Linked DNA regions of Caenorhabditis elegans. The protein of the gene in region 1 purifies or fractionates together with the protein of each later gene. This does not show direct contact. Each region holds a gene or a part of one and is shown in the gene's direction. Other genes may lie near its edges.

Region 1 (11,153 bases):
TTTTTTTTAGTTAAATTCAAGCGTAAACAGTCCAAAATCGACAATTTCAATCAAAATCCGCCAACTTGTGCGAAAATGTTTTGAATCAAAATCTGAAAAAAATCCCACCATTTTTCCAGATCGAAACAAATGTGGCTAGCCACCCAAAATCTGAAGGGAACTGTAATTTTCGGAAATCGAGCCAGCTGCTGCATGGAGGGAAGACGTGCTCCACTGGGAGATCAAATGAAGACACTTCTCTCGTGCTGTGGTGGTGGAAACTCTGATGAATTCGTGAAAACCATCAATACGGCAATGTCGAAAACCTCAAAAGTCCGCGGGGAGTACACGGAGCAGGATCTGAACACACGCTTCAACAAAGTCTGCCGAATCGGACGTCGTGTTGCCTATGTCAATGAAGGTGGAGCTCTGGCTCATCTCTACTCGTGGCTCAAGTCTTCCCTGACTATTGAGCTCGTCCCGAAGAAGGGTGCTAATGAGAGGTAGTAGTGTCTGAAATGATATCTATCTGTAAAAAAACTATAATTTCAGCCTGACCCCAGCTGTCGAGAACAACTTCACCTTGCTCACACGTGCCGAGCAACTCTGGAAGTCTGGCAAAAAGTCCGACGCGATTCGTGTTCTTCAGCTGACCGACGGGGCCACCCGTAGAGTTGCTGCCGATTTCATCGCTGATGCTCGCCGCCAACACGAGGCACTTCTTCTTTCACGTCTTCTGCTCGCCCACGCGGCTCTCACCTCCATTCGTTCCACTTATTAATAATTATTGAATATGCCAAGTAGTACGTCGTCTGTTGTCTGTCTGAGAATTATGTGTTCTCTCAAAATAATAAAATTATTATTATTTTTTACTTTTAAACAATTTATCAATCAACAAAAACAACAAATTTTACAGCAGTTAAATCAAAAATTATAAATTATCCAGACGACGTCGCTGCTACTGGCTCAGGAGTGACTTCTGCTGGAGCCTCGGCTTCCTTCGGAGCATCTTGAGCCTCTGGAGCAACACCATCCTGCTCCTTGGCCGCCTTGCTCGCACAAGCCGCCGCCATCGTCACAAAAGTCTTCTTCTCGGGCTCCTCAGCTTCCGCATTAGCCGTGAAGTCGTGATGAACAAGATCCGCAAGCCATTTGAGCATTCCCTGAGTGAGCAGCTCCGTCTCGATCATATCCTTGGTGATGAGCTCGAACTTGGTCCGCTCGATTTCTTTTTCGATGATCTCTCCCCAATCGGTCAGTGGTTCGTGGGATTTTGAATTCTTTCGATCGTAGGAATCGTAATGAGTCCGCTCGAGGAGGAGACCCAGTCCTGGAGCCATTGGGATATCCATCTGAAATTTTTTATTTTTTTAAGTTTAAAAGTTTTCGGCTAAAATGCTAGATTTTTGCACTTTTTAATCTCTTTTTCATTTGGATTTCGTTAGAAATTAATTATTTTCGTCTAAAAAAGGTGTTAAACTCGTGAAAAAGCGGCAAAATTGCGCGAAAACTGTTAAATTTTGCGGAAAATAATTCGAAATTGTCCACGAGGAGTACACGCTTGCGTAAATCTACACAATTCTTAAAGGGACATGTACCTCGTGCGCGTGATCTCGCAACGATGCGCGTTTGCCGCTTCAAAATAGGGTTTTTAAAATATTTTTTGGTGAAAAAGATTTAAAAAAACACAAATAATGTTATATTTTCACACTTTCGACGCGAAAATATCGAAAAAATGTTTAAAAATTGTGTTTTTTCGACTGTTTGAAGTTGAAAAAACACCGAAAAAACAGGAAAAAAACACGAACTCGCTGTCCCTCGAATGATCTTTGAATCGACGACTTTAAATGCAGTTCCCGAATGACTGTAATCACCATTCCGACCATTTTTCGAATCTGATGAAGTACAAATGATTGTCCTTTAATCACAATTTGCACGAATTCCACGTCTTCTTTACGAAAATCGTCACGAAAAAGGAATGGTTCTTTGCATTCGAATGAGATAATGTATCGATTGGAGCTCATATCATCGTAGGCTCTTTTAGCGGTATAATTGAAGAAATTGTGGGTTCCGAGGTAGATTGAGAGAATACTGTTCACCTCTGCCAAGGTTTCCGGGGAAAGTCGGAAAGAGGAGTTGGTGAGCTGGAAAATCAAGAATTTTTAGAGATTCTCACGGAATATCAGCGGGAAATTCGATTTTTCGATCAATTTTTGCCCGAAAATACAGGTTTCCAGTCTTTTTTCGCCTGAAAACTTGATTTTTCAGTCTATTTCCGCAGAAAATTCACATTTTCAGCGTGAAACTAAAATTTTCGGTCAAACTTTGCCGGGAAATTCAATTTTTCAGCTAATTTTCGGCGAAAAATCCAAATTTAGCCTCTTCTATACCTCCGTAGGCTTTGCAAACACAAAAGATGGACACGTGTAGCTATAGGTTCGATGATCACACTGCTTCTGTGGATGGAAGAAATTCGTGGTCCGACGCATTCCAAAAACACGAATATCGGCTGGAAGAATGTTGTTAAGAATTCCAGCTCCCTCAGCTTGATACTTGGCGTCATCTCTGGGTAGTTGCATTCCGCACATCTGGAAAAATGATATAAAATTCGCTATTTTTTCCTTTTTTCAATGAAGTTTTTCGGCTTTTCAGTGAAAAAAACACTGATAACAGCAGCAAATTAGTAAACTCCAACCTGTCTAGCAGCTGATACTGCCCTATCAGTTCTCGCCGCTCTTTGAAAAAAGAAATCAAATGGTTTTTCTTTTTGAGCGGTCGTGATCCAACCGGCCGTCTCCATTGCCTCAAGAAGCTTTGATTCAATTGTGGGCAGGTCTTTTTGAAGCTAAAAATTAATTAAAATTTATCAATTTTGACCTTTTTTTTATCTTATCAGACCTGCATGCCGTAGTATTTTTTGCCTTGATAGCCTAAAAGCATCGCATATTTTGCCTGCTTTACTCTTGGCTTTTTAGGTTCCTTGTGCACACCACCCGATTGAACATGGTTGAGCTTGTCGACGGTTTGCTCCTCAACGGTTTTTGTCATGATTCGGGTGAGCCTTTGGAGCAGTTGTTTGAGCATAAAATAGGGCGAATGCCGGCTGAAAGAATTAAATTTTTGATTTTAACAAAAGAAAATAGCGAAAAAGATCACAAAGTATCAAAATAAGACGAGAAACTTAAAAAGAAAAAACGCAAATATTAAATACAAAAATCGAAGGCAAAGTCACGCCATGGGTGCCTGCTGGCGCACTTCGTGCCAGTGTCATTGGCGCGTTTCTCGTGCCCGCGAAAAAAATTTAAAAACAAATTTGTTTTGCCATTTTTTGCCTAAAAACACTCGCGTTTTTTGATTTTTGACCTCAAAAATGTGAAATTTTAATTTCATAACACGAATTTTATCAATTTATCTCGTCTATTACAGAGATGCCGGGCGAAAAACGCGTAAAATACATTCTGGTGACCGGCGGAGTCATTTCTGGCGTCGGAAAAGGCATCATTTCGTCGAGTTTGGGCGTTTTGCTCAAAAATAATGGATACAAGGTAATTGCGATCGACATATGTGGCATATTCCTTGAAGGATCAGAAACGGAGCAAACTGATAAGCGAATTCGCTAGCGAACACTATTTTTTATCAGAAAATTTGAAATTAGTGCTTAAATGATAGAAAATGGACCGTAATGACAGAATATGACTGTTAAAATATGTATAAATTTGCTATGATTTCGCAAATATTCGAGAAAAAGGAGTTATTTTTCGAATTCCCGGACAAGTACGTTGTCTCGGTATATTTATTGGGTTTTTTTTCCGTTTTTCTCCCTAATATTTGATTTTAAACACCGTGTTTCAACTTTTCAGACAGTTTTCCGCAAAAAAATCGTATATTTATGTGAAATTATCGATTTTTAGCCCAATTTTGATGTTTTACCGGGTTTCTCTCGCGTTAATCCGAAAGAAATTCGCAAAAACTTCAAAATTGACCTGAAGTCGATAATTTCACATAAATTTATCTTTTTTGTGGAAAAATAGTGTTTTTGATCAAATATCGAAGAAAATATCCAAAAATACAGCCAAATAACGCATTTGCTCTGAATTTCAATAATTTTTTACAGTTATATTCGGTTCATTTTCCATCGTTTAACACAAAAACCCGCCGCATTTTCCAGGTTTCTGCGATCAAAATCGACCCGTACCTTAATGAAGACGCCGGAACCTTCTCCCCGTATGAGCACGGAGAGGTTTTTGTTCTCGATGATGGAGGAGAAGTTGACTTGGATTTGGGTAACTATGAACGATTTCTCGACATTCGTCTGACTCGTGATAACAATATTACGACGGGAAAAATGTTCAAACACGTGATGGAACGCGAGAGAAGAGGCGATTATTGTGGAAAAACTGTTCAAATGATCCCTCATTTGACCGATGCTATTGTGGATTGGATTGAACGAGTTGCGCGGATCCCTGTTGATGGAACCAGTGAGCAACCCGACGTTTGTATCATTGAACTCGGTGGAACTATTGGGGATATAGAAGGAATGACATATCTCTCGGCATTCGAACGATTCCAACGTCCAACTCTTAAGAATGACTTGATGAATGTTCATGTTTCGCTGATATTACATCCAAACGCCACCGGTGAACCGAAAACCAAGCCAATGCAGAACTCTGTCCGCCATTTGCGGGCCGCCGGTCTTGTGCCGGATCTTCTGATTTGCCGTTCGACTGAGAAGCTTGATCCTCACCTCAGAGAGAAGATTGCCGGGTTTGGAATGATGGATTTGGAGCAGGTGGTTGGTGTTCATGATGTGTCGAATATATACAAGGTTCCACTGCTTCTCCAGCAGCAGGGAGTGTTGGAAGCGATTACTCAGCGTCTCAGATTATCGGAAATCTCTGAGAATATTAGAAAAGATTTGAAATTCAACATGAATCACTGGACTAATCTATCGGAGCTCTGTGATACTTTCCAGCAGGTTGTGAATATTGCACTCGTCGGAAAATACGTGAAAATCGCCGATGCCTATGCTTCAGTCAATAAAGCTTTGTCTCATGCTGCTATTCACGCCAAACGGAAGCTCAAGATAACCTACGTCGACTCGGAGCTTTTGGAGAATAAGCCAGGAATGGAAGAACAGTCGAGAGCCGCTTGGGATAGTGTGAAGGCTGCTGAGTATGTGGAAAGAAGGAAAAAAATGCTAAAATTTCTCGGAAAACGGCGTATTTCTAGCTGAAATCACGATTTTTTCCAATTTTTCTAGTCAAATTGGACTGAAATTGGCAAAAAAAAGCTAAATTTTTTGTTAGAATATGGAATTTTTTCCGATTTTTCATGTTGGAGAGACCGAAAATTGGTCTCAACAGGTAAAAATTCGGCGAAGATGCTCAAAAAATGCATTTTTGAGCCATTTTTCACATTTTTAAACTGAAATTAAAGATATTTTCTAACCAATCAAATGTTTTACTGTATTTTGACACTTTTTGACACTAAAGGATTATTCGAAAATTGTCGTCGAAAAATAGGAAATTAAGCCAAAATCTGCGACTTTACGGGTTTTTCATGTTAGAGTGACTCAAAAATGGCCAAATATCAATGAGACTTCTTAAAAATTACTCATTTCCCGAAAAAATGAATATTTCTAGCTAAACTCTCAATTTTTTCCAAATTTTCCATGTCTCAGCGGCGGGAAATTCGATTTTTAAATTTTCATAGATTCTACTGTGTCAAAATAGCATGAAAATTCCCGAATTTCGACGAAAAAGGGGAAACTTCTTTTTTTGACACTCAAAATTTCCGTTTTTTCGTCGAAATTTGGGAATTTTCATATTATTTTGATCCCGTGAAAGCGATGAAAGTTTGAAAAAATCGTATTTCCCGCCGCTGAGACATGGAAAAATTGGGAAAAAATTGAGAGTTTAGCTAGAAATATTCATTTTTTCGGGAAATGAGTAATTTTTAAGAAGTCTCATTGATATTTGGCCATTTTTAAGCCGCTCTAACATGAAAATTCACAGATTTTTACTTAATTTCCCATTTTTCGACGACAATTTTTGATTATTCTTTTGAAGTTCGGGATTTTATGCCATTTTTAGTGTATTAAACCGAAAAATATCAAAAATTTCAAATTTTCAGCGGCGTAATTGTGCCCGGAGGATTCGATAAACGTGGTGTAGAAGGAATGATCAATGCAGCAGAATACTGTAGAAAAAACGATGTTCCATATCTTGGAGTTTGTCTGGGAATGCAAGTGGCGGCTATCGAATTCGCTAGAAATGTTCTGAGCATCGACGGAGCCAATTCGACGGAATTTAACTCGAAATTGCACGAAAATCAGCAGATTGGTAGGCTCTGAAGATAATTAATTCATTAATTAAATTGATTTTTTTTCAGTGATCGATATGCCAGAACATAATGTTGAAGAGAAGGGATTGGGTGGAACTATGCGTCTTGGAAGACGTTCTACAGTATTCCTTACCGACGAATGCATTCTTCGTACGTTTTCCAGGAGATTGGAGTTGTTTTTCAGCTTTTTCAGATAATTTTACCTATGAAAACTGCAATTTTTGGCGTTTTTATCATAGAAAACCGCAAAATTTGAAGGCTTCAAACAGGAAAACCCTGATTTTTCAGGTTTTTGTGCTGGTTTTTCTCGTAAAAATGTGGATTTTTACCTGTATTTTACACAGACAATTAGAATTTTCCATGAATTTAGCAAATTAATTACAAAAAGTGGAGTAGCGAGACTCAAAATGGCCACAAAATACATAATTTCATAGTAAAAATCTGGAAAAACGCTAAAATTAGCGAAAAGTTCCAATTTTGCAAGGTCTCCTTGTCGTTGCTGCCGGAAATAGATTTTTATTCAATTATCGCAATTTATTGTGTATTTTGTTCGTTTATCCTTCGTTTTTCCTTTTATCGACTGAAAATGTACCCTAATAAATGAAAAAAACACTGGAAAACCCCACCAAAATGATCCAAAAAAAGCGAAAATTGAATAAAAACCTATTTCCGACAGCTACAACAAGGTGAAGCTTGCGATATGAGAGTTTTTGGTGAATTTTGCGTTGTTGAGATTTTTAAAAGCTGTTTTACTATAAAATTCGGAATTTTGTGGCCATTTTCACGTTCGCTACCTCCCTTTTAACATATTTGTAATTTTTGGCAGAAAAACACGGGAATTCGTCCAGAAAATCGAATTTTCTGTGTTAAAAACCGACGAATATGCATTTTTACACTGAAAACAGCACAAAAAGCTGGGAAATGCTTAGAAAATTGGCATTAAAGGTGAAAAAGCCCTAGAATTGCTTTAAAACACCGAATTTCGCAATTTTCTCGGCTAAAACGGACAGAAATTGAAATTTTTAATGGAATAATACGTCAAAAAGCTGAAAATTTCAGAAAAATGCGTCGAAATTCGCATAAGAACTGAAGAACGTCCTCTAAATAAAACTCTGGTTATAGTTTCGTTAAAACGCCGAGTTTCGCAATTTTCTGTGCTAAAAACGAACAGAAATTGCAATTTTTGTCGAAAAAATATCTGAAAGAGCCTAAAAAATAGGAAAAAGCGGTTTTTTTTCTCGAAAATTTGACTCAAAATTTGCAAAAATCTGAATTTTTCAATTTGTTGCGGTTTTAGCAACTTTTTGTGACAAAAAATTTATTTTTTAGACTGAATTTGGTATTTTTAGGCCTATTTTCAAACAAAAAAAAAGAAGTTTAAAATATCAGAAATTCGGATTGAAAAAGTTTTTACTTTTTAAGCCTATTTTCGGAAAATAAGCTTTAAAGTAATAATTTCAGCTGAAAAAATGACTTTTTAGGTGCAAAACATGGAAAAAAACGTTAAATTTTGCGATTTTCTAGGCTAAAACGCACAGAAATTGCCATTTTCATCAGAAAAAGCTGAAAAAAAACCCGCCTAAAATCAGAATTAAAAAAAAAATTTCTCATTCCAGACCGTCTCTACGGAACTCACACAGTGGAAGAACGTCACCGTCACCGTTACGAAGTGAATCCCCACGTTGTTCCACAAATGGCTCGGAAGGGATTCTTGTTCGTCGGAATGGGTGTAGATGAACAGAATACTGATATTTGGGATGTTAAGAAGCGAACCGACAGCTCGGCGGAGCTTATGCAGATGGCTGATCAGACTGAAATTGATTTGTTGCACAAAATTGATGATTTGTGTCAGAGAGGAGGCGATGGGGTTACTCGGCCAGCTGTTCGTATGGAAATGTTCGAGATGAAGGGTAAATATAAGGACGAAAATTCAATTTTTAAGCCCTGGCAGACAGATTCTCATACAGAAACCTTCAAATTTTAAGAAAAAAAAGGCTAAAATCTTAGATTTTGCCATTAAAAATGTTTCAAAAATGTTTTATGGCGGTTAAAAATTATGAAAAAATGCCCAGCTTGTAGCTAATTAAGCGGCCGAAAAATTGATTTTTAATTGCTTATTAGTTCACATTTTTCGTTATTCCAGGTGCATTTTGCCTACCTATAGACCTTAAATATACCTAAATCAACGAAAAAACGTGCTATTAATGACAGAAATAAGACAAGATTCAATTAAAAATCAATTTTAATTAGTTCGAAAGTTTGAACCGTAATAAAAAAGTTTTGAAACATTTTTAAAATATCTCAATTCAAAATGTGTTTATTTTAGCATATTTCGAGTTTACACAAGCTATTTCATGAGATCAATCGATATTCTTCTCGCTTTAGTTGCTCCAAATCGATAATTACCTCTGGAAATTGCGTCCTGGCAATTTTCAGAGAGAGCGAACGCGCTCCATTGCGAACCATTTGATTTTGAAATTGATGACTCTCTCTCTGCAAGTGGTTACGCAATTTTCTTTGCTAACAGTTAATTTTTTTCTCAAAATCTGCTGGTTTGGCCCTGTCACTCTTAATTTAGGCCGTTTTCTCTTAGTCGTATTTTTCTACTTTTTTAAAAATTCTTACCAAGGGTGTAATTGGAGAAAATCGAGAAATTTCGATTTTTTAATCAAATTTTTTTTGTGGAGAAAAACATAAAAAGGCATATTATTTTCTTATAAAATGTGGGAAAACACCCCAAATTTTCAGCTATTTTCCGAGAAATCGACTTTGTTTTCGAAAAATCAAAAAAAAAAAAAAAAAAATTTCATTTTTTTGATAATTTTTATTCAAGTTGACGAGTAAAAACTATAAGGAAATCGATATTTTTCTTCAAAAATGTGGGAAAAATAGCCCAAATTTTAAGCCATTTTCCGGACAAATCTACAATTTTTTTTTTGAAATTTCAGAAAAATTTTAACAAGACTGTCAAAAAAAAATTCGGCTAAAAAAAAGAAACTGTTGGTTTTTTATCGTCATACCAACTAAAATATAACATTTTTGAAGAAAAAAAAAGAAGTTTTTTGGTCCGAAAAACCTAACAAAAATTCCATTTTTGGAAGTTATTTTCCTAAAAATCTAAATTTTTCTGGTGAAAATCGATGAACAAACTTTAAAAAAAAATCAAATTTTGTTTATGCTGATAAACATTATTTTATTCATTTTTGAGAAGATTTTTCAAAAAGTCGAAATTAAAAAAAACCGGCACCCCTTGAAGCTTATCTCCAATTCCAGACCACCCATACTTTGTCGGAGCCCAATTCCATCCCGAATACCTTTCCCATCCACTCACTCCATCTCCACCATTCTTCGGTCTTCTGCTTGCCGCAACTCGTCAACTTAATTCATATTTCTCTGGGTCAAGAAGTCCGGCTCTTCAAGTTGTAAATGAAGAGGAGCATCTTCATCATACAAAAGAGAATGACTCGGAGGAGAAGCGTGAAGATGTTGTTGGAGCAATGTTGGGGAAACTGAAACTCGAGGGAAATGCTGTGCCAGGAACTCAGAGATTGGCTTCTTTCCATTAATTGTTTCCTCAATTTTTCGTCGTTTTTTTTCACTTTTTTTGTAGTTGAGTAGATGATTTTGTCAGAAAATCGTCTTAAAATTTGCAGAAATTGACCGATTTTTTGCCTTTTTTTGAGCCAAAAATCCATTTTTCGAGCTGAAATCGCTGAATTTTTGGATTTTTTGCAGTTTTTGAGCCAAAAATCCATTTTTCAAGCTGACATTGCTGAATTTTTGGATTTTTGCTCTCCGAAAAGCTATTTTTTGTGCGAAAAACGGGAAAACGCTCAAAACTTGGTATTTTTCGATTTTTTTTTCAATTTTTGCCGTTTTTTGAGCTGCTTATCTTAAAATTTACATTTTTGCGCCAGAAAACTCATTTTTTCAGCCGATTTCCCAAAAATATGCCTAAAAAGGAACACTTTTACCCCGAAAAGTGGTTTTTTTTTTTGAGGCAAAAATGTTTTTAAAAATCCAAAATTTGAGCGAAATATGTAAAAAATGGCTTTTTCCACCAAAAAACTATTTTTTGATCTGAAATTGCGATATTTCAAGCTTTTTTTCCCAAAAACTGGCCTAAAAATACCAATTTCAGTCCAAAAAATTATTTTTTGACTCAAAAAATTGCCAAAATCCGCCAGAAAAACGAAAAATTCAGATTTTTGCAAATTTTGAGTCAAATTTTCGAAAAAATCGACCCTTTTTCGTCAATTTCAGACCATTTTCAGACAAAAATCCCTCCAGTTTTTGTTGTTTTTATTCTTATTTTCTGATATTCCAAAGATAATTTTCTTCTTTTTTTTCGCATTTTTCTCGTCGTTTTTGTCCTTTTGTTATCCTTGTTTCTGTTTTTTTTTCATTAATTTCTCCCATAGTCACCTTCATTTTTTCCCGGATTTATTCAATTGTTGACCCAGTTTCATAGATTTTGTTCTCTACCAACACCCGATGAACTTCGTTTTTAGAGTTTTTGATCACTTATTTTGGCGCCCAAAATTGTCTATTTTCTTGCCTCTTTTGGTTATCTTTTTCACGTTTTCAGACCCCGAAAAGTGATTTTCAGACCAAATTTTGTTTCCAGATGAGTGCTTATCATGTCGGGCAACTGGTCGACAAAATGTCGAATCCGGATAAGGATTTCCGGTTCATGGCTTGCAATGATTTGATGAAAGATTTGCAGACTGGAACTATCGCTTTGGAGGACGATTCGACTGCTAAAGTATAGTAAAATCTCAAAAATTGGCGGTTTTTGGTGCAAAAATTGCTTTAAAAAGCTAAAAAATAAC
Region 2 (7,160 bases), on another chromosome or scaffold:
TTCAATCTATATTGATCTTCAATTACAATAGATAGTCTGACACAACTTCCAATCCTATTCTACCATTAATCCAAATTCCGTAAATAAAAATTGTTAAGGTAAGAACTCACAAAACAAACGGCATCTTTGTTAGCTGAAGCGTGAATGCGACAAGCTTCGAAGATTCTCTCATGAACTGTAGTAGTTGACAGCTTTACTGAAGCAGCTTTGGACACGAAAACCATCTGAAAATGTAATTTTCTTTGATTTTCTATTAGAAATATTAATTCTTGTCAACTTAAAACATCCACGAAAAATAAACTGGTGAAAAATTGTTGACAATTTTTATATTTGAAAAAGATAACAATAAAGTTGATTTAAACTTATGATTCGCTTTTTTAGAACCACGTTGAACACTTATTAAGTCGCGTTTTTTTTCTCAATGAGATTTGAAATTATGGGCAAAAAGTGTGGCAGACGTATTTTTCAATCTATCAGCTGTGGATTCTGAGATTTTTTGAAATTTACTACAACCAGACTAGTCCGAAAGTATATCAATTCTTATTTTTCTCTCCAAAAACGGGAAGTTGAGAAATTTTCTGAGACACAGTCAATTTGCGGTGTATCCATCAAAAGCCTTTCAGTATGGATATTATGAACGTACGTCTACAACAAAAGTGCACACTGCAACTTACAAAGGCGTTTGTGAGCCATTATACGTACACATCGTTTTAGAACTGTTCTTACTTCTCAACAATTCCAAAACCCAAAACTTACATTTATCAGAAAACTGAATCGGTGTCAAACGTTCTTGCGATGATATCAAATAGTCGATGTAACTTGAGTAATGAACAAAAATACAAACTGATTTTCGATCATTGATATTCGAAATTGTAGAGTAAACTAGAATGTCACGTTGAATTATTCTAGATTTATATAATTTTCATAATTTTTAGAAGGTATTCACGGTTTCTCTTGATTCAATTTATTCAAAATGTATTGATAGATCTCGCAGAAAAATCAAAGTTATTTTGATACTTTTAAAATCAAGCATCATCCCATGACTATTTTGCCAGTTATCATAACGCAGTTATTTGAAATTCTTATGAATTCCTTTGTAAATGTTCAGTTATCTGAATGAAAACCTAGCTATCCTGTAAGTCTTTTATGGATGGCCAAATGCAGAACGAAGTAAAAAGTCTGAAGCCCATATAATCAAAATTTAATTTTTGGCGGAGAGTGAAAAGTGAAAATTTTTCTGTTAATATTTATGATAAACCAACATGATCGAATATTGTAATAGGTTATTCCAATAAAAGTTTTTGTAAAGTGCCAAAAATGTTTTTGGTAAACTGCCAAATTTTTGAGTGTTTTTTATTTAATTTTGAGAAATATCGAGCAATTATAAAGTTTGTAATATCTACAAGGTGTGATTACATTTATTTTTATTAGTTACCAAAATAACTTCACTTGTTGTTTATTATGTCTTTAATATCTGTAAACTTCGTAAAGTTTCAATCCCAATGCTGAATGCTCAAATTTCTCTGTGCTCTTTTCTCCTCTTCACACTTTTTCCGCTTTCCGCTTCTCTGTTCCGCATCGATTTTCCATCCGCTTCTCCCATTTCCATCTCTAGTTTCTTCTTTCTCTTTCTACTCTTCATTTTCCACCAATTCGTTTCGTTTTCTGTATATGATCAAGTTTATTTTAATTCCATGTACTAATTGCCAAATTAACCATAAACATCAAAATTCCTAATCAAATCCTCAATTGCTGATGAAATAATTTCTAAAACTCGTAATATTTTTTCTAAAGAACACATCGTAGTCATTTCATTACTACAAAAAAACATATGTTTTTCCTATAATGATGACAAAACACAAATCGACACGAGGAGGTCAAATGATGACAATGACAAATCAGAAAAGTTGGAAGGAAACGTATATAAAAGGACGAATTATGAAGTTCAGTTGCTAGACAATATGTCTATTTGCTTTTCAACTAACAAGCATAAAAAATTTGCACTTTTTTTTAACTTTGAGTTTAACTTTCAGCTGAAAATAGAAAATTACACTGATATTTTCAAAAATTCTAGGAATTTTAAATGTCCTCTGCATTCTGAACTTGAAATTGTCAAATATCAATTTTCTTTTTCAGTTTTCTATTTTTCAAAGAGCTCTTCAACTTTCAAAAGTCCCCATCCATCCGACCAGTAGTTTTTTGTAAAGTATATCATTTCTCTTCATCTCTCAATCATTATGATCTCTAACTCTTCACATCTATCAACATTCTCCATTCCTTCCAAACGGCTGATGCAACTGTCTGCCGCGTGCCGCTCAGATTGAGGGGCGGGAGGTGAGCGGACGCAAAGCAGCGTCCATATAAATTTGCGCAGGAGCATTCACTAGACATGCCATTCTGACCTTTTTCCTCTCTATGTCTATTTAATTTTCAAATCGTAAAAATTTTATAATTTTATCAAGTGAGTAGCACATGGCGAGGTTGGTTTGTTATCTTGAAATTGAAATTAAATTTGAATTTCTGCTGACAAATGTTTTTGAGATAGTGACGTATGTGTCACTGAACTCTTATCAATTGTTGACATACTTAATGAAAAAAACGGAGAATCAAACTTCAATAATCTTTTGCTGTTCTACTTCTTAATATGATATAAGTAAGTATGTTCACAGACCTTTAAAAAATCATTTTTTGTCTACTTTTTCTAGTATCCAGAATACATAAATTGCTTATTATTATTAAAATTAAAAGGTGGGCTTAATTTTTACGACAGTATAGACATGAAACATTTTAAATTTTCGATTTTCAGCCAAGTTCCGGTTGGTTTAAGAATACGAGGTCACCTTCAGAATGTTCTGATAGAATTGAAAATAGCTTTCAAAATAATTATTTATTTGAGGTTTATTAGATCCTTCAGTGAATGTTTTGGCAAATTCGGCAACAACTCCACATTTTTACACCTTTGGTGAAAATTATTAATCTAGTTAGTTAATCTAGTTAATCTAAAATTATGGGTACTTATACATTTAAAAAATTAATTTTTCATTCAAGTAGCAAATTGGTAAAACCTGCTTTCTGATCACAAGCAATAAAATGTAAACCTACTGGTAGCAACTCTACCTATTTCTAAATCTAGAAGAAAATGCAATTGATCAATAAATTGAAACTTTCGCTTTCTTTTTCCTCCTCCTCCAAATTCAAGACTTCCTGCAAATGAAATGTCGTCTCAAATCTTATCTTTTCCACGCCAAGGTTGCCAATTAAAAAACACGTCACAATTATCATCATTTCTATGTATTCAATCCCTATCTGCCTCTTCCAAATGATATTTTGAACTTGAACTCTCTCCTTCTGGTGCCCTTTGTCCAACTGCTCGAGACACACATGTGGCTGGTTTGCAGTAGACACAACGAGAGAATGAGACAAATTCTTCTCTCTTTTTGATAACGAAAAAATGATACGAGACATAGAGAAATCGATGCTTTGAGGATTTGATTTCATCGACATGTTTCTCAAACAAAATACCACATGGTAGACCTCCACGTGGGGTGATTGGCACTGGAATTTGAACTTTTTGAAAAAAAAAACTGTAACATGTGATAAATATTATATCAACTAAACGAAGGAACAAAATAAACATTAAGATAGTGTTCAAACTGCACAATTACGTGATTTCAGTTAATTTAAAATTCCTTCAAGACTTTGGAAACTCTAATAGTAAGTCACGTCAAACTGTGTTATCTTTTGTTTCAAGATCGTCATTAGTAAATACATTTATGATTACTGACTTTCATAGTTTGTAAAAAAAAATAATTGCAGCAAGAACTCTTTGTGAACTTGAGCTGATACATTGTCATGATACTGTTGGCCTACTGTAGTTTGTATGCAGAGCCAGTGGAGATTTTCAAAAAAACTCATCTTATGGTGCTAAAATATAGAAATTTTTATACATCCTTAAATGTTTTCGGAAATTTCTATTATTTATACAACGTTGTAATTACTTAAGTTAGTTCTCTTCTATCCTTTTGGAAGTCGATCAAAATAACATTTTCCACGATTTTTAAGTTTTTACTATAAAAACAAATATTAGTAGGGAGGGATAGGGTCGGGGTACTGTAGGATTAATGTATTTTTGTAGAAACCTCTGTTTCTATTAAAATGTTTCTATTACTAGTATTAGGCCAATTCATGTTAAAAATTAAGATTCTGGTTCGTAGAATGTGACTTGACATTATACAATTCAAATTCCGAACTTTTCAAAAAATACTATAGAATTTACAAATATTCAGCTGTTCACGAAAAAACCATATTTGAGCAATAAAAATTGTTTTTAACCAACATATAAAAACACCACAGAATCCCCAGAAATGTCAAATTTATTACCAAACTTGTGCCAAATACATATTATTTTTTGAAGTATGAAAAATACGCCACCTATCAGTCGTTAATCTTATCTTTTATTTTTCAAATTTCTCAATTTCCCACGCTTCTTCTCATATCCGGTTTTTTCTGCAAAATGGTCTCGTTTGGAGATTTGATAAGAGTGTTTATTCCAGATGTGTACATCATTCAATAGTATCAAACATTGTTCATTCCTTCTTTGCACATCACTATTTATTTTTCTTCTTTTCTTCCGTTTTTAACATCTTGTTTGCCTAATCAGCTACATTCTGTAAAATCTAAAAATAATAGAAGATTAACGTCTTTTTGACCAATGTCAAGAACGTTTTTTTCTTTAACGATTTCATTGAAACTTTCGGCGTGTCGACCGACCCTTCGTTTGACCCCGCCCCTTTCATTCGTTCTTTTTTCTTTTCTCTCCTCTTTCTCTCACACTTATAAATCCATTTGATTATCATTTCTCGACATCAGTCTTCTTATTGCAGCCTGTCTCAAGATTAAAATGGCTACTTTCCCACACTTCGGAACTGCTGCTATCCACGTTGGACAAGAACCAGAGCAATGGGATATGAATCAGGTTTGTCATAGGTATTCTGAATATAAATACTGAACTGATACTTTTCAGGTGGTCCCGCCAATCAGCTTGTCCTCGACCTACAAACAGGATAATCCAGGAGAGCCAAAGGGACACGATTATTCTCGTGCTGGAAACCCAACTCGTGATGTTCTTCAAAAGAATCTGGCTGCTCTCGAAGACGCAAAACACTGCCAAGTGTTCTCTTCAGGACTTGCCGCAACTTCCGCAATCATCAATCTTCTCAAGTACGGAGATCATATTGTGTGCTCTGATGATGTCTACGGAGGTACTCAAAGATATATCCGCCGTGTTGCTGTTCCTAATCACGGATTGGAAGTCGATTCGGTTGATTTGACGGATGTTCAGAATCTCGAGAAAGCAATCAAACCAAATACCAAGATGGTTTGGTTTGAATCTCCATCTAACCCACTTTTGAAGGTTGTTGATATTGCCGCAGTGGTCCAAACTGCAAAGAAAGCCAATCCAGAAATTGTTGTAGTTGTTGATAATACCTTCATGTCTCCATACTTCCAACGCCCAATTTCTCTTGGAGCGGATGTTGTCGTTCATTCAATTACCAAGTATATTAATGGACATTCTGATGTTGTTATGGGTGCTGTTATCACTGATAATGACGAGTTCCAACAACATCTTTTCTTCATGCAACTTGGTTAGTTTACTGTGCTGTTGTACGCAGTGAAATCTAGTCGTATAATTTTGTCATTTTGAGGCATAGATACGGTAACCGGTCTTGAAGCTAGTGAAACTTGGCAGCTACTGTATTCGCAAGTGCTTCGAATTTTTTCTTAACGGTTTTCACTGAATTTCAATATTAATTTCTTCGTGTTTTTCTAGAAAAGAAATCAGTTTCTCTGCTTTAGAAATCATATAAAATACATTGGAACTATAAAAAAAATTGCTAAATACTTGTGGGTACTGTAGAAGCAAAGTTTCGCTCATATCGAGAACATGTACCTTGAGTCAAATGTCGCAAAATTATAAAACTGTTTAAAATCTCATTGGATAGCTAAATTAATCGTTAACTCAAAATTTTAATGCTATTATTTTCAGCCGTCGGAGCAGTCCCATCTCCATTTGATTGCTTCCTTGTTAATCGTGGACTCAAAACTCTTCACATCAGAATGAGAGCTCACTATGAAAATGCTCTTGCTGTTGCCAAATACCTTGAAGCCAATGATCGTATCGAATCAGTTCTCTATCCAGCTCTTCCATCTCATCCACAACATGAAGTTCATGAGAAACAAACAAAGGGAATGTCTGGAATGATCTCATTCTATCTTAAAGGAGAACTTCAAGAGAGTCGTGCTTTCCTTTCTGCTCTCAAAGTATTCACTTTGGCTGAATCTCTTGGAGGATATGAATCACTTGCCGAGCTTCCATCTATCATGACTCATGCTTCAGTGCCTGCTGAAACTCGAATTGTTCTTGGAATCACTGATAACCTTATCCGTATCTCTGTTGGAATTGAAGATCTCGATGATTTGGTTGCTGATTTGGATCAAGCTTTGAAGATTGCCATTCCAAAAGTATAACTTTTCAATCATTTTATGATATGCATTTGTTTCAAATCTGAAAGCCGGTACTAGTTTTAATTGCCCACTCGTCTCCACCACAACCTCTAACTAATCGACTCAAATTGTGTCTTACACTATCCAATAAATTTTTTCTATGAAAAATGATAATTGTTATTCGAAACAGAAATTGGAATACATAACATGATATTTTGCAATTGGTATATGAAAGAAAGGTACACATTGAATTATAATTAGATAGCGTAGAAGGAATCATAGAGAGATCATTTAAGTTTGAATGTCATAATTTTCATCTTCTTCTGTCAATCTTCTGGGGATGGTACTCTTCTTTTCCGACTCGACGATCCCGTTGTCTGTGTTTCTTTCTCTTTCTGCTCTCTTATCTGAAAGCTATGAACAAAAATAAGCAATATCTATTGTTTCAAAATTACCTCGCGCACTTCAGCCATGATATACTCGGGAAGTTCGTAATCGGTGACACTATTAAACTCGCTTGGATACGATTCATTTTCTTCACAGAATCTCAGACCGAACCATTTTTTGAGCTTATCTTCGATCATTTCAAGTGAAGGACGACACAAGTATTTAGGCGGATATGAAGTTCGTTCTGGGCGTCCTCCCATCAAGAGGTC
Region 3 (6,618 bases), on another chromosome or scaffold:
TTTGTGATCTCTGAAATTTTCTTATCTATTCATCCAAATTTACATACATCACAAATTGAACAAGTCTCGATAATTTCTGAGTTGACTAATATTTGTCTTCTCATCAAAACAAGTTCTGACCAACAAAGTGCCAGGTACCAAAGGTCCCTATGGAGCTATAAGCCAACGTACCCGTCACTTCTCGCATTTCAATTCTATCGCTGTTATTTTGCTTTTTGGCAAGTGTTTGCGCATCATCACATCATTTTTCTCACAATTCGTTTTATTTGGAAGAGTATAGGCGATCGAATTTTTTTTGGCATATTCCTCTGCTCCTTTTCAAATTAAATTTTGCCCGCCCGGTTTTCCGAGAACGCCAAAACCAGTAATCGTGCAAGATTAAATGGCACGATGCCGCCTATTCCACGAACAATATAAATATATTGCTTGCCGCCTTAACTTCTTTTCTTCTCGATTAAATGTATTTTTACAGAAATATCACGGACTTAGGCGTCCATGTTGTTGTTCTTGCTGCGTAGAATCTTCGACTGCAGATATAAGTACAAACTTTTTGTGAAAGCACTCGTTCTTTTCCTCACTATCGTCTATAACGCGGGATTGGTGCACTTTTTGTAAGTGAACGCTATGCTTAGTGCTCACAGCATTTTATTTTGCCATTTTGCAACCTTAATATCTACATATTCCAATGTTTTAATAAATTGTATTTTTGAATATATAATTGTCCACGATGGCCGAATATTGCACATCCTCGAAAATTCTTAGGCTTTTTAAACGTTTCAGTCAAAGTAGCAAATTTTTCACAAATGCAAACTTTTTAAGTACTTTCAAACATTGCTGCAGGTTTAAACTGTCCTGTAGAGTATAGATAAAATCAATTTTTGATCAAATTATGCGGAACTGTAAAAAAATCACTTTTTACTTAAGAAGGCGAAACATTTCAAATTTTTTTATAAAATCACATTTAAAGAAAAAAATCAGATTTTTTTTACGTACTTAGGCATTTTTGAGAGAGTCCAATTAAAACAATTTTTTCTTTGAGAATTTTTAAAACATATAGGTTAAATCAATAATATATTTTCCAAAATATGCTATACTTTTGAAACTACCGAGATTCGAATATTCGGCTATATATTCTAATACTATTACTAATAATATTCTAATACTATTAATGTTTGGGGGTTATTGTGAGCAACCACTCATATGGTTCCAAAACGACTGAGTATCTTAGTAAACCTTTCAAAAAAAAATTTTTACTTTTTTTCTAACTGTCAAAAAGTGGCAGTTTTTTTAAACTTGGGAGATAACATTTTTTTGAGCGATGACTTCCAAAAAAGTGGCAAAAACTGAGTTATTCCCATTTTTTAGAGAAAAAAAAGATTTTTCACAACTGTTCGACCATTCTCGATTTGATATTTTTGAAAACATCTCGATTTTGACGGATCTGGTTTTTCAAACAGAATTTAATGTCTAGTGGCATGGAGGTGTAACGGATTTCCTGCATTTTGGGAGTAAACCGTTTAGGTCTGAACTTTTTAATAGTGTCTGGTGCTAAAAATGTTTTTGTAGTTTCGATGCTATTGCAAGTAACAAAGTTCTATAGGCCATTACGAAACTTTGAGATTAAGTTTAATCATATTTTATGCTAACTTTCATTTGCCGGGGGGTTTCCCACGTTCAATATCCAAATTGAGAATCATCAAACTTCTATCCTCAGAAATGAGAATTCCTAATGAATATCCAATAATCAAAAACCTTTTTTAAAAAAGTTGTATTTGTTTTATATTTCAGCTTCCGCACCACTTCATTGGATGATTCTCCCGAAATGAATCATGTCGATTATGTCGCCCATGTCATCGTTATGCCAATCGTTTTATCCATAGGTATTTTCATTTATACATTCTGAGAGTATACGTTTTTATATTTCAGGAATGATAAATCAATGTCTGAATGTGTGCACACTTCTTCACATTCGAACTAGCATATTCCTCTACTTGAAAGCTTCGGCTATTGCCGATATTTTAAGTATTGTCGCATTTATCCCATTTCTTTTCCGACATGCCAAGCTGATAGACCCATCATGGGAGCTCGGGATGTTTTATCATGCTCATTTGGAGCTTCCGCTCATAAACGCACTTATTTCTGCAAGGTATGTACGTGGTCAAAAAGATATCCCATTTTGGTGTTTTGATAATTTTTCTAATAGTTCAAATAAGTATAGCTCCAAAACTAGAATTGTTTTCAAAAAATGTTCAACTGAAAAAATATATATCCCATGACTTTGTCTAATTGTTTTCATATTATATGTTTCTATTATTCATAAAAATCATGGAAAAAAATAAAGCGGCCGACATCTCGTGAGTCCCTTTTCGATGAGAAATGCGCTCGAATAACCTCTCCACTTTGAATTCTAATATCTTCTTTCCATATGGATTAAAAAAAAAGATAACTGTTAACAGTGAAAAATTATATGAAAATTATTTTTTTTCACAAACTGCCCTTGCGTTTTGAGTTACAGTCGTTTTAAAAAAATAATGGATACGTGAGATGTTTTTGCCATAATTTTAGGGAATGGGCCATATCTTGTTGGTAGAATTTTTTTCGATAGCAGTTCTAGTCTCGGAGTTATATTTATTGGAAAAATTAGCAAATTTATTTTTAAAAAGTAAAAGGGATAACTTTTTTTGGACAGCATTGTCTATAACAAAACATTGGTCATTAATTAAATCAACTATTTCAGTGCGTTGAATATTGTTGCCATGACAGTGGACAGATATGTGTCAGTTTGTCATCCAATTAAATTTTTTCAAAACAATGAGACAAAGCCATCCCGTCGTCGTACCATGCTCATCATTGTCATGATCTACTTTATTGCACTGATGATATATTTTCCATCAGTCTTCCAAAAGAAGCTTGGTGTCGTGACGGATGCTCTCACCAACAAGTGAGTTAATATTCTAGACAGATTTTTTTGTGTAATTTCAACTTCCAGAACGATCTACACAATTGTTCGCAACGAAGATGTGGAGGCACTTCAAGTTTTTAAATTCTATCTTATAGTAAGAGAAGTAAGTGAATCGAATTTTTTTAAAAGTAGTTTTTATGTTTAATTTTCAGTGTATCTGCCGCTGGGGTCCCGTTCTACTTCTTGTTATCCTGAACATGTGCGTCGTTCGTGGCCTGCGGAAAATTGACAAACGTAATTGGTTCTGGAGACAGCCATCACAAAACAGTCGGACTGAAACATTAGCTCAACGCCAACTTCGGTCGCCGCGCGATGATCGCAGTCGTATATCAGTTCTTCTGTTCGTTACATCTGCTACTTTTATCATCTGCAATATTCCTGCCTCCGTTATATCTTTCTTCGTTCGGTAAGTCTTAATATTTTGAGAATTCTTTGAACTGGACAGCATTTCAGACGAGTTAGTGGTTCATTGTTTTGGCAGATATTCCGTGCCATTGCAAATCTTCTTCAAGTCACAAGGTATGGCTACCTAAAACAAAAAATTAATTGCTTTTTTTCTTTTTTCAACTCTCCAAAAAATTCAATACATGCTATGGTTTTTTTCACTTCTTGTAAAATTCAGTAGTTTATGAAAAGAGCTCAAAGCTGAAAGATGGTTCCAAACCTTTCCCCGTTTTCAGTTATCTCTACAACTTCTACCTTTATGCTCTGTGTTCTTCTGAATACCGTCACGCATTTCTCCGACTATTTGGATGTAGATCAAGCTTATCGCCAACTTCCACTGGCGACTCTCCAACCGTTCGAGTCTCAGTTCACGGAAAGCGATGTCATCAGTGAGTTTTTCCCCTCTCCGTTTCAAAAGTCAATCATAATCTCCGTTTGCAGAGCTGTCGTCCTTCTTGGAAACGAGAATCATGAAAATCCAGTGGATGAAGTTTAATCGTTGTTATCATATACTTCTAGTTGCTTTCCTTTTCATTTTACTCAAAAATTTGTTTCCGGCCTTCTTTCAATTGCTTCCATCAATAGATCTCTGTTCTGAAACGGTTAACTTTCAATTGTGATTCTCAAAATTCTTGTCAACCTATTCCTTATCTGTTCTCCTCATTTCCAAATTTCTGTCTTAGGTGATTTTGAATGACCGGTTGTTCTTTACTTTTTTTCTGTTGCTCCAAAAACGTTTTCATTTGAACACATTCCAATTTCTTTTTACATTACCTTTTTTGTTGCATATCTTACTGATTTGGACCTTTTTTGTTCAATTTTTCACATTTAATACCGTTTTTTTACAATAAAAAAATGTCCGGATAACTAAATTTATTTAATAATGGCTCAGGCCCAAAGTCTTACCAAATCAACGGCGGCTCCGTGGAAACATGTCCTGTACAGATTCTAATCGATTGCTTTCCATCTGCCAAGCGAATTTGTATGTGTGGCCCAAAAACGCAAAGACCCCCGGGTTTGCAAAGGAAATATCACTTGGAAGTGGGAGACTCGAGATGACGCGAGAGATGTTGGCATTCTGCCAGCGTAAAGTTAGATGTGCAGGCAGGACACACAGCCAGAAACGAGTGTTACCGTAGTCATTTTGCCTCTCGTATTCTGCAGGAGAATTTCCGATCTTTCCTTTTTTCTTGTTAAATTTTAGGCCCTTTACAATTGGATGACTCGAACTTTTTTCAATCGAAAGCTTTGTTCAATGGATTTTCATAATTTAATTCGCGTTTTTGTTAGTGATTATTTTAATTTAGGGTTATTAGTTAGAAGATGATTTTTAGGTGGAAAACCTTTATTAGTTTGTTTATTTTTAGTTTTTTGGGTTTTTCTTTGAAATTCTCTGATGTTAGAAATTTGCAATTTTCTTTTTTGTTAATTTGTGCCGTTACATTTAAAATTATTTTATTGTTATTTACCTCTTTACAGACATGGGTGACATCGAGAAGCAGACGGAAATCCGCGAGAAGAAGGCCCGCAATGTTATGCGTGAGCTCAAGATCCAGAAGCTCTGCCTCAACATTTGCGTCGGAGAGTCTGGAGATAGACTGACCCGTGCCGCTAAGGTAAGTTAATTTTCACTTGTTGCAGAATATGAACTGAATTATTTTATTTCAGGTGCTCGAGCAGCTCACTGGACAGACCCCAGTGTTCTCCAAGGCCCGCTACACCGTCCGTACCTTCGGTATCCGCAGAAACGAAAAGATCGCCGTTCACTGCACCGTCCGCGGACCAAAGGCCGAGGAAATCCTCGAGAAGGGACTCAAGGTCAAGGAGTACGAGCTCTACAAGGAGAACTTCTCCGACACCGGAAACTTCGGATTCGGAGTCCAGGTAACCATTGCAGAAGCGATCTAGTCAGCTGTAAGTATTAATGAATTGCAGGAGCACATCGACTTGGGAATCAAGTACGATCCATCGATCGGAATCTACGGAATGGACTTCTACGTTGTCCTTGACCGTGCTGGACGCCGTATCGCCAAGAGAAGACGCGCCCCAGGACGTGTCGGACCATCCCACAGAGTCGAGCGTGAGGAGTCCATCAAGTGGTTCCAACAGAAGGTAAATTTTCGCTTCATAGATACCTTTGTTCATCTTCAAATTTTCAGTATGACGGAATCATCCTCCCACCAAAGCCAAAGGTCAAGCGCACATTCCACCGTCGCCGTTAAGAAAATTGTTGATTTTTTGACATAAACTGTTATATGTTGTACCAGATTAAAAATGATGTTTTTGGGGTTGGGTTGAACTTTTCAGAGCACAAAAACCTCAATCTTCTGAACACTGAAAAGTAAAAAGCTTTAAAAATTAACGTGGATTCGCAAAGGAAAAGATTGTGGGAAAAACGTCAGAACTTTGTGAGCACTTTATAGAGAGATAAGTCTGTTATTTTAAGATATATCAAGTGATTCGATAAAACCTTACGACCTCATTTTCTAGGCGCGTCTAAAAATAAATCTAGAATTATTTATTTTTTTCAATTTAAATCATACAAGTTACGTTGCTTAAACAAATGTGTCGAATTTCGAGTTCATAACGCAATTATCGGATCTATGTTCCGAGAGTTAGCGGCGGGTTTTGAACAAAAATAATTTGACGGTCCTTGGTATCTGATATGTGATCAATTCGAATTCCTGAAATATTTCTGGGATTTCTGAAAATATATTTCGAAAATCGAAAATCGAAAATTCGAAAACATAAATAAACTTAGTTTCATTGCGTATATGAAATAAATAAGACCAAACTTATTTGAAGATTGATAAAGCTATTGTTAATGGTTCATGATTTGTATATTTTTCAGCATAAGTCTGTAAATTTTTGTAAAGAAAGCTCTATCGGCTGCTCAGATATGAGCTTAAAAGTCGAGTGGCACCAAAAAGCTTGGTAAACGCTATGTACAATATTGGCTCTATAATGGCTCACAGTTGTTGAAATTGTCAGCCAACTCAGTTGCTTCAAGTCGGGCTTAAAGATCATAAAATATTAAAAATCGTGCTTTTGCATGTTTTCAGTTATTTCCATGATATGAAAAATGAAAAGTACACCACCGAATTACACAATGAAATGAAACTTTGAAACTGAAAAATTTGGTTTCTTTCGAAAAAATGAGATTTTTTGTCAAAATTATCGAAAATCTCAGGGGTTCCCGTAGCAGTTGGGCG
Region 4 (7,560 bases), on another chromosome or scaffold:
TTCCTTATTCCGTGGATTCTCTCACAAACGTCTCTGAGAAGTGAGAAATTTTTCAATTGCTTTGAATAAAATTAAAATTATTTTCAAATAAAGCAAATATTTTACCATATTTTATCACCAAGTTCGAATAAAAAATATCGGGAGAACATGCAACACTGACGCATTTTGCAGATTCATTACAGACTCTAACTTTAAGATTTGATTTTTTAAATATAAATGGACATCCTCATAGTGTATTCACAATAACTTTTTATTAGCAAAATTTTCCAAAACACCCCAAATTTCCAGAATATCTTCGTTCTTCTACTTTTCTTACCTCAAGAAAACCGATACTTTGTTGAACTGAGATCTTTGAAAAATCTCCTCGTAAGTTACAAAAAATTTATCAAATTTATCAAATTAACTTTATTTCAGAAAAGTATCTTACATAATATCGAAAATGATTATTTTCTTGCGCATCAAAAAGTTCGCCTATATTCGAGCCATAATTTTGTGATGGTGTGCAAGTATCTATACTTCTAAAGATTATCAGTACACATTTTCCAGCTCTACTCCTCATCGAAAATATTGATGATGGAAATTGATGATTTGGAGAAAATGATAACCTATGATGACGTGGCAGATGTCGTCTCATTACTTGTTTTAAATGGAAGTCCGTGTTATATGAATGGATCCGGAAAAGTTACTATTTTGGAGAATCAGGAAAAGTTGGTTTTTAATAGGGAAACAGAGATATATTGTAAAAATGTATATTCAGAATTTTCGAGTGCTCTCCACTACTGAATCCAATCTCTTCTAGCTTCGTAATTGAAAATCGAATTTATGTGCTATCGAACAAGTTTATCTCTAGCTTCACATCAGATTCTCCACTGGATTACGAGAACTATGAGACAGAAAAAGTCATTTTGGCAATTCTAGCGGAAATTAGCAATTATATTTTCAGACTATCACAACTGGAGATATTGGAAAATTTGGAGAAGATCGGCTCATGATTTTTGATAAGTTTTCTCAAACTTGTTTTGTCTGGGAAAAAGATAAACCAAAGTATGCAATTTAATTGAGCTTCAATTTTTAAAGAAACAGTTTTTTTTCAGAAATCCATCTCATCAACTTTGCTTTGGATCGTCTGAATATACAGTAGACGTGGCTTGCGACGAGGAGAATTTGTACTCCTTAACTTCTGCCGGCGTAGTTTCAGTTTGGAAATTGAAACCTAATGGGTATGCAGTTGCAGTCTTTGTTTACACGGTACTAAAATTTTTTAGAAGAAAATATCGAGATCAACTATTCACAACATACCTGAACCATTGCACAAAACTACTTTTAACATATTCTCAGGTATGAAACAAAGAAAATAATAAGCATATAACATGATTTCTGGGTATACAAAACACACGTTAAATGGAAGATCAGATTTTGAATATAAAAATTGGTTTTTAAAATCTGCCAAACACGGTCCCAGATTCTAAAAACATTTATCTTTCATTTAACGTTTGTTTTGTCTTACAAAAAATTGGCCAATTAATCTCTTTCTATATCAATTGAACAAATAAGGGAAATTCAATCCATGACGAGAGTCACTCAGAAAACAGCCTGTGCCTTTGAACTGACGCCCCAATTTTTTTAAAACGAAATCAGGATCCACAACTCTAAACGTTTTTTTTCATGGTTTCTGGCCACCTGGCGATCACCTAAAATGTTTTCTTTTTTCAGAAGTTTGTGATTCTCACCAACTCGGAAGTTCACTTTGTGGTGTTTGGCATTGACTCGACCAGTGGCCAACAGTGATCGGTGCCAGCCTCTACCGATCCTCATTCAATTGACCCCAATCCATCACTCGCCTGCTTAAAAACCCGCCGTTGCTCACAAATATTTTCTCTTATCTTCATTTCTTTGCAAAAATGATTGTCTCGTTTTCTTCTCCACAATCTTTTTGATATAAATTGATTTATTGAATGTTGATCGCGTTGCGTGTTGTAATATTGGCTCCTTCAGCATGGCGTGAGAGAAATAAAGAATTTAAATCAGAAAAGATAAAAAAGTTTCTGGAAGAAATGTTCTATTGAACAGGTAAAAATGAGACAACCAAAATTGACTGCGCCGCAAAATTTTTTGAAAGAGTTTCGTTAATAAAAAATCGGAAAATCTGGAAATATTTCGTTTCTTGTTCTGACTTTGGCAAGTTGGCAAAAATAGAAATTTCAGAGGCCAGAGCAATAACGTTTTTTGAGAATTTTTCATAAGGTCTCATTACGACATTCGATAGTTTTGAGCCATTTCAAGTCTAAAAATGTGTCAGATTTCCGTACTCCACCTGTTGCCTACCTGCCTTAAAGCGGACTCTAACTAACTAGTACCTGCTTCCAATAGGAAAGCTAAGAAAGACCTTTAAACTTGCCCACATTTAGTACTCTACGACTACAAAAAATAGACAATTTAAATTTCCTGAAGCTGGTTCTCCCCTGCCTCACAGAAATTTATAGAGTACACGATGGCACTAGTCGTTTGATCTCTATCTTATCAAAATCAAATCTTTTTTTTTTCAAATTCAAATCTTGTGCACAACCATCTCCCCAATCTTCACAGATCCACATTGTCCTCAAATTGTCCTTTGCCTTCTTCTGGCTCCGCCCCTATGGGACAGTCGAGACTCCGCCTCCTTCTCTCCAATGTCTCAGACAAACATCACAAGATATCTGTTTTTCTTTCTTGTCATGTTCCATGCTCAACCTCTAATTCATTGAATTTCAGGTATGAAAACCCTTCTGCTTCTCGCCTTCTTCGTCGGGGTGACCTGTGGAGAAGAGATCAAGGATTTGCCAGGATTGGACTTTGAGCCGAATTTCAAGCATTATTCCGGATTCTTCCAAGTTTCGGATAACCATGTGCTTCATTATTGGTGAGTATGAAGGACAGAAGTTAGCCTAAAAAGTGCAAACTAGCATGAAAGTAAAAAAAGTCTTGTACCTTTTCAATTTTTCGTCGATCGAAAGGTTGTTTGAAACAGTGTTCAAGGTGTGAAATAGGTTCAGAAGCTTACACAACGAAAATCTTACACAACAAATCTTACACGAAAATCTTACAACTTACACAACGAAAATCTTTTGAATGCGAGCTTGCCTTCATACCGGCTTGTCTAATAAATCATCCTAAATCATTATTCCAGGTTCGTCGAATCCCAAAACGAGCCATCCAACGACCCACTGATCTTCTGGTTCAACGGAGGACCAGGATGCTCTTCCTTGGACGGACTTCTCAATGAAATGGGACCATATGTTGCCAATGAAGATGGAAAGACTCTTCGTGAAAACGAGTACTCATGGAACAAAATGGCTTCAGTTGTCTATATTGAGTCTCCAGCTGGAGTTGGTTACTCGTATGCCACTGATGGAAACATCACAACCAACGATGATTTGACTTCTCTTGAGAACTACGAAGCTGTCAAACAATTCTTCACTGAATTCCCACAATTCCGTCATCATCAGACATTCATTATGGGAGAGTCTTATGGAGGAGTTTATGTTCCAACTCTTACCGCAAGAATTGTTGATGGACAAAAGGACTTCCCAATTAACTTGAAAGGAATGGCACTTGGAAATGGATATGTTAATGAGAAGCTTAACATTGATACCTCTGTCAGATTTGCTTATGGACACGGACTTATTGATGAGAAGATCTGGAATACTCTTGAGAGAGATTGCTGCAGAGGATGCATTGATTCATGTGATTTGACTCAAGTCACCGGACACTGTGCAACTCTCGTTGAGGACATCTTCCAATTCTTGTGGTTCGGAGGATTGAATCCATATGATTTGTACAGAGATTGTGATCCAAATCCATCAGTGAACAGCAAGAGAATGAAGCACATGTTGAGAGGAGTTGCTCCAGCAATGGCCCATTTTGATGAGCTCTTGAAAAATCAAACAAAGACTTCCCTTTATCAATTTTTGAAAGTATGTGGGGTAGCAGCAATGGGAAAATGTAAAAATATCATTGGAAAACTTTTCAGAAAATTTTTCAGTACTCAGTTTTCACCTAGTGTCACGGTAGGTGTCACGGTCATGAGATCATTATCAGCAGTTTTTTTTTTTGAAAACTTTGAAAATTGTTTTGTGAACGAAACCCTGCAAGGATTATATTCAAACAATTTTTTTGCCATCCAAGTAAAAAAAATTAAAATAGGAAAAAGGTTATAGAATTTTTTTTGGTCAAATTGCATATTTAAAACTTTTTTAATTTGATCAATAATTACCACCATAGCAGTCACTTCATATTTGTATCTTTCAGAACAAATCTCAATCCCAAAAGCCACTTAAGGCTGATGTTCCATGCCTCAACGATACTGAGATGCTCTCCTATATGAACAATCCAAAGGTTCGTAAGGCAATCCACATTCCATTCAATCTTGGAAAATGGGATATCTGCAGGTGAGCCTGAGCCAAAGAGCCCAAGCCCAGAGATCAAAACAAAAATTTTCAGTGACAAGGTGACTACTACCTACCAGAAGCAGTACACCGATATGACTCCATTCATCAAGAAGATCGTCAAGAACCACGTCAGAGTTCTTTTGTACTATGGAGATACTGATATGGCCTGCAACTTTATGATGGGACAGCAATTCTCTGATCAACTTGGACTTCGTAGAACACTTAAAAAGACTCCATGGAAGTATGATAGACAAATCGCCGGATTCAAGACACTTTTCGATGGGCTCAGTTTCATCACTATTCGCGGAGCTGGACATATGGCTCCACAATGGAGAGCTCCACAAATGTACTACGCCGTTCAACAGTTCCTGAATAATCATCCACTTTAAATTTGGAGAACAAATAATATTTTTATCTTCTTATTTATTTTTCAATCTATTGGTCAATTTTCCAAGTTTTGAATAATGAAATTTGATTTTTAAATTTTGTGATTTTCGAATACACTGAAATATTTTTCAGAAAGCTTCCAAATAACTGTAATCGGTTTACTCATATGACGTTTGGATTAAAATTTCAAGTAATTTCGATTAATAAAACTGATGTTCTACTTATTAATACGTTGTACCTTTGGAAATAGTCAATAAATAATTGGAAAGTCTTGTTTGTTCGAAAAAATATCGATTTGAAATCTCAAAAATGCCTTTTGTGGCACTTCCAACCAACATAGTTACTTTTTGTCCAATTTCTCAATAAAAATCGTATTAATTGAGCGAAAATACTACGAATTCAAAAGTTTACCATTCAAATTTAAATTTTCCTTTTTCCCGCCGATTTTCGCTACTTCGGCCATGTGCGAGTTTCTAGGCCACGCGGAAATGCACGGCGGCCACGTGGTCCGCAATTTTACGTACACGTCATTTCCGCGGAATTTCCAGTTTTATTTTCCGATTTTTCGCTTAAATTTTTCAATTCGAGATAAAATCAGTTTCATTTGCTAAAAAGAAACGCAAATTTATTTCAAAAAATCAATAATCTTCTTCTATTTGTTTTTCTATGACCGATTCTTTTGAGAATTTAATTTTTTTCAGCCGTTTAAAAGAGAAACCACTTGGGTCCAGTCAAAATGATGAATTTCGAAGTAAGCACAACAAAACGTAAGTTTGAAAATCAGAAAATATATGTAAACTGTGAAACATTTCAGAAATCGGAGTGGGGTTAACGACGTTCGGCTTCTTTTTCATATTTCTCGGAGTGCTGATGTTCCTTGATTCTGCTCTTTTAGCTATCGGAAATGTAAGTATTTATTGTAAATTTAAAGCATAAAATTATTATTTTCAGCTTCTATTCATTGTTGGAATCACATTTATTATCGGCGTGCAGCGAACACTTGTTTTCTTCTTCGAATTCCGAAAACTGAAAGGAAGCATTCTCTTCTTCGGAGGTTCGATCACAAGGAATTCATTATTTTAATTTAAAAATTTATTTTCAGGGATTTTGGTAGTTCTATTTGGGTACCCATTGTTCGGAATGATTGCCGAGTGTTGGGGATTTATTGTCCTTTTCGGGTGAGTTTTTGACTAAAAAATGTTGAGTTTTCTAAATATTTGCAATAGAATCAATATCTTGAATTTTCTGCTCTTTTTCTTCGATTTGTAACAAACATTTTGAACTAATCGCTCACGAAATTAAATTTAATCTAATAATAATGAATTTACAGTGGTTTCCTGCCTGGAATTGTCAATTTGCTCAGAAGTATCCCCGGAATCTCAACAATCACATATCTTCCTGGAATCCGACAGGTCAGTTCTAACGAATCAGGATTTTTATCAATTATTTCAAGTTTTAGGTCCTCGATCGCCTTGCTCCAGAATCCAAGTACCCCGTCTGAAAAGTTCAGGATCTTCCCAAAAATCTCACCAAAAATGGGTTCTATTTTCTTTTTTGTTGAAAATATTTTCTCCTGTGTTGTCCCTTCTCCTCTCATATCACGTTCGGTTCAACTACGATTTCGGCCAAAATGCACATTTTCTGTGTAATATTATTCAATTTTAATTTATTTATTATTAAAAATTTTAAATTTTATCTCATTTCTAAAATATCCCTCAGCCTTTGTTGTATAATACGCTTTCATTTTCTTCTGTTCCTAGGTGAAAAATGTGATTATAATTATTTATTAGATTCCCTTTTTTCCTTTTCTTGTGTTCTGACTCGATATCCATTACATGACTCATTTCGATCAAAAAAAATGATGTTCTATGCTTGTTCTTCAGATCAAACAAATCACGTTTTCACCACCAAAGAACTCATTTCGACGAAGGTTTCTTCTCCCTTCAACCTCTTATCTTTGTTGCCATTTTTAAGAATGACAAATCGAGAATACGAGACGCAGGGCCAACAACATCTCGTTATAAGAAACGGTCAACCCGATCAATTCACGATTTTAATTCAGTTTTCTACAGCTTCCTGTTTTCAAGCACTGCAGATTTGAAACAAAAACCTTGTTTTAAACTTAGAATCTACCTGAAAAGTCCGATAAAAACTGAAAAAGTTCTTACTCGTAGAAAAAATTATTTTTAAAAGAAAAAAAATGCAGAAATTGATGAAATAAGGTTAAAAACCAAATCAAGCATTTTTGAACATCATTTTGAAATAAAAAATTGAAAATTTACGGTATTGTGCATATTTTGTGCAATTAGAATGCGAAAACTTTGAAAAAAAACTTCCAAAGTTGAATTTTAAATAGAAGTTGCCTAATTTTCTTGAATTTTTCATTTTAAAGCATTGTTTCTATTACAGAAAATTAGATATTTCAGAAATGCTCAGTCGTCTAGTCAGCTCCGTCCATCCACAAATTGGGCTCCGTGCCGCTTCTTCTGCAGCCAACAATATTGTCAGTCAAGCTCAGCTTCAATCCGATCCTTCGAAGGTTGCTATTCAATATCCTTCTGAACGTTTTTTCCATAATTTTATAATTTTCCAGCTCCTCTTTATCGATGGCGATCGCAAAACGACTTATGGAGAATTTGTTAAACGAACTGGGCAATATGCAACTGCTCTGACTGAAAAGTACAATATAAAGGTCATTTTATCTTTAAAATTGTATAAATTCAACTTTTCAAATTCAAATTTTCTC

What was found.
Region 2: the proteins of ctps-1 (region 1) and cth-2 fractionate together in Caenorhabditis elegans (co-fractionation; one large-scale study listed by BioGRID). This does not show direct contact.
Region 3: the proteins of ctps-1 (region 1) and rpl-11.2 fractionate together in Caenorhabditis elegans (co-fractionation; one large-scale study listed by BioGRID). This does not show direct contact.
Region 4: the proteins of ctps-1 (region 1) and ctsa-1.1 fractionate together in Caenorhabditis elegans (co-fractionation; one large-scale study listed by BioGRID). This does not show direct contact.

The regions. Positions count from the first base shown.
Region 1 is NC_003283.11:16,791,926-16,803,078, forward strand, and holds ctps-1 (CTP synthase), read left to right. Parts: upstream 1-2,982; coding exon 2,983-3,034; intron 3,035-3,405; coding exon 3,406-3,524; intron 3,525-4,147; coding exon 4,148-5,151; intron 5,152-6,111; coding exon 6,112-6,320; intron 6,321-6,369; coding exon 6,370-6,471; intron 6,472-7,937; coding exon 7,938-8,231; intron 8,232-9,594; coding exon 9,595-9,887; downstream 9,888-11,153. Other genes in the region: immt-2 (MICOS complex subunit MIC60-2), read left to right, coding at 120-482, 532-760; pus-1 (Pseudouridylate synthase 1 homolog), read right to left, coding at 918-1,331, 1,788-2,123, 2,370-2,567, 2,675-2,824, 2,878-3,027; cand-1 (Cullin-associated NEDD8-dissociated protein 1), read left to right, coding at 10,949-11,086.
Region 2 is NC_003280.10:7,055,684-7,062,843, reverse strand, and holds cth-2 (Putative cystathionine gamma-lyase 2), read left to right. Parts: upstream 1-4,883; 5' UTR 4,884-4,900; coding exon 4,901-4,975; intron 4,976-5,023; coding exon 5,024-5,645; intron 5,646-6,046; coding exon 6,047-6,528; 3' UTR 6,529-6,660; downstream 6,661-7,160. Other genes in the region: acs-6 (fatty Acid CoA Synthetase family), read right to left, coding at 111-224; ZK1127.3 (EAF7 family protein), read right to left, coding at 6,796-6,918, 6,960-7,160.
Region 3 is NC_003284.9:2,240,886-2,247,503, reverse strand, and holds rpl-11.2 (Large ribosomal subunit protein uL5B), read left to right. Parts: upstream 1-4,885; 5' UTR 4,886-4,887; coding exon 4,888-5,022; intron 5,023-5,074; coding exon 5,075-5,290; intron 5,291-5,341; coding exon 5,342-5,518; intron 5,519-5,565; coding exon 5,566-5,628; 3' UTR 5,629-5,766; downstream 5,767-6,618. Other genes in the region: putative G-protein coupled receptor AH9.1, read left to right, coding at 496-611, 1,789-1,880, 1,927-2,146, 2,738-2,941, 2,990-3,065, 3,115-3,368, 3,416-3,481, 3,643-3,795 and 1 more. UniProt on the Caenorhabditis elegans protein: Component of the ribosome, a large ribonucleoprotein complex responsible for the synthesis of proteins in the cell.
Region 4 is NC_003280.10:4,734,897-4,742,456, forward strand, and holds ctsa-1.1 (Serine carboxypeptidase ctsa-1.1), read left to right. Parts: upstream 1-2,751; 5' UTR 2,752-2,753; coding exon 2,754-2,899; intron 2,900-3,166; coding exon 3,167-3,953; intron 3,954-4,287; coding exon 4,288-4,427; intron 4,428-4,479; coding exon 4,480-4,816; 3' UTR 4,817-4,906; downstream 4,907-7,560. Other genes in the region: F41C3.7 (WD_REPEATS_REGION domain-containing protein), read left to right, coding at 289-366, 415-498, 547-707, 758-899, 944-1,044, 1,095-1,220, 1,266-1,338, 1,714-1,788; eas-1 (putative Golgi transport protein 1), read left to right, coding at 5,551-5,581, 5,629-5,720, 5,766-5,868, 5,917-5,992, 6,145-6,226, 6,274-6,315; acs-11 (fatty Acid CoA Synthetase family), read left to right, coding at 7,243-7,353, 7,408-7,506.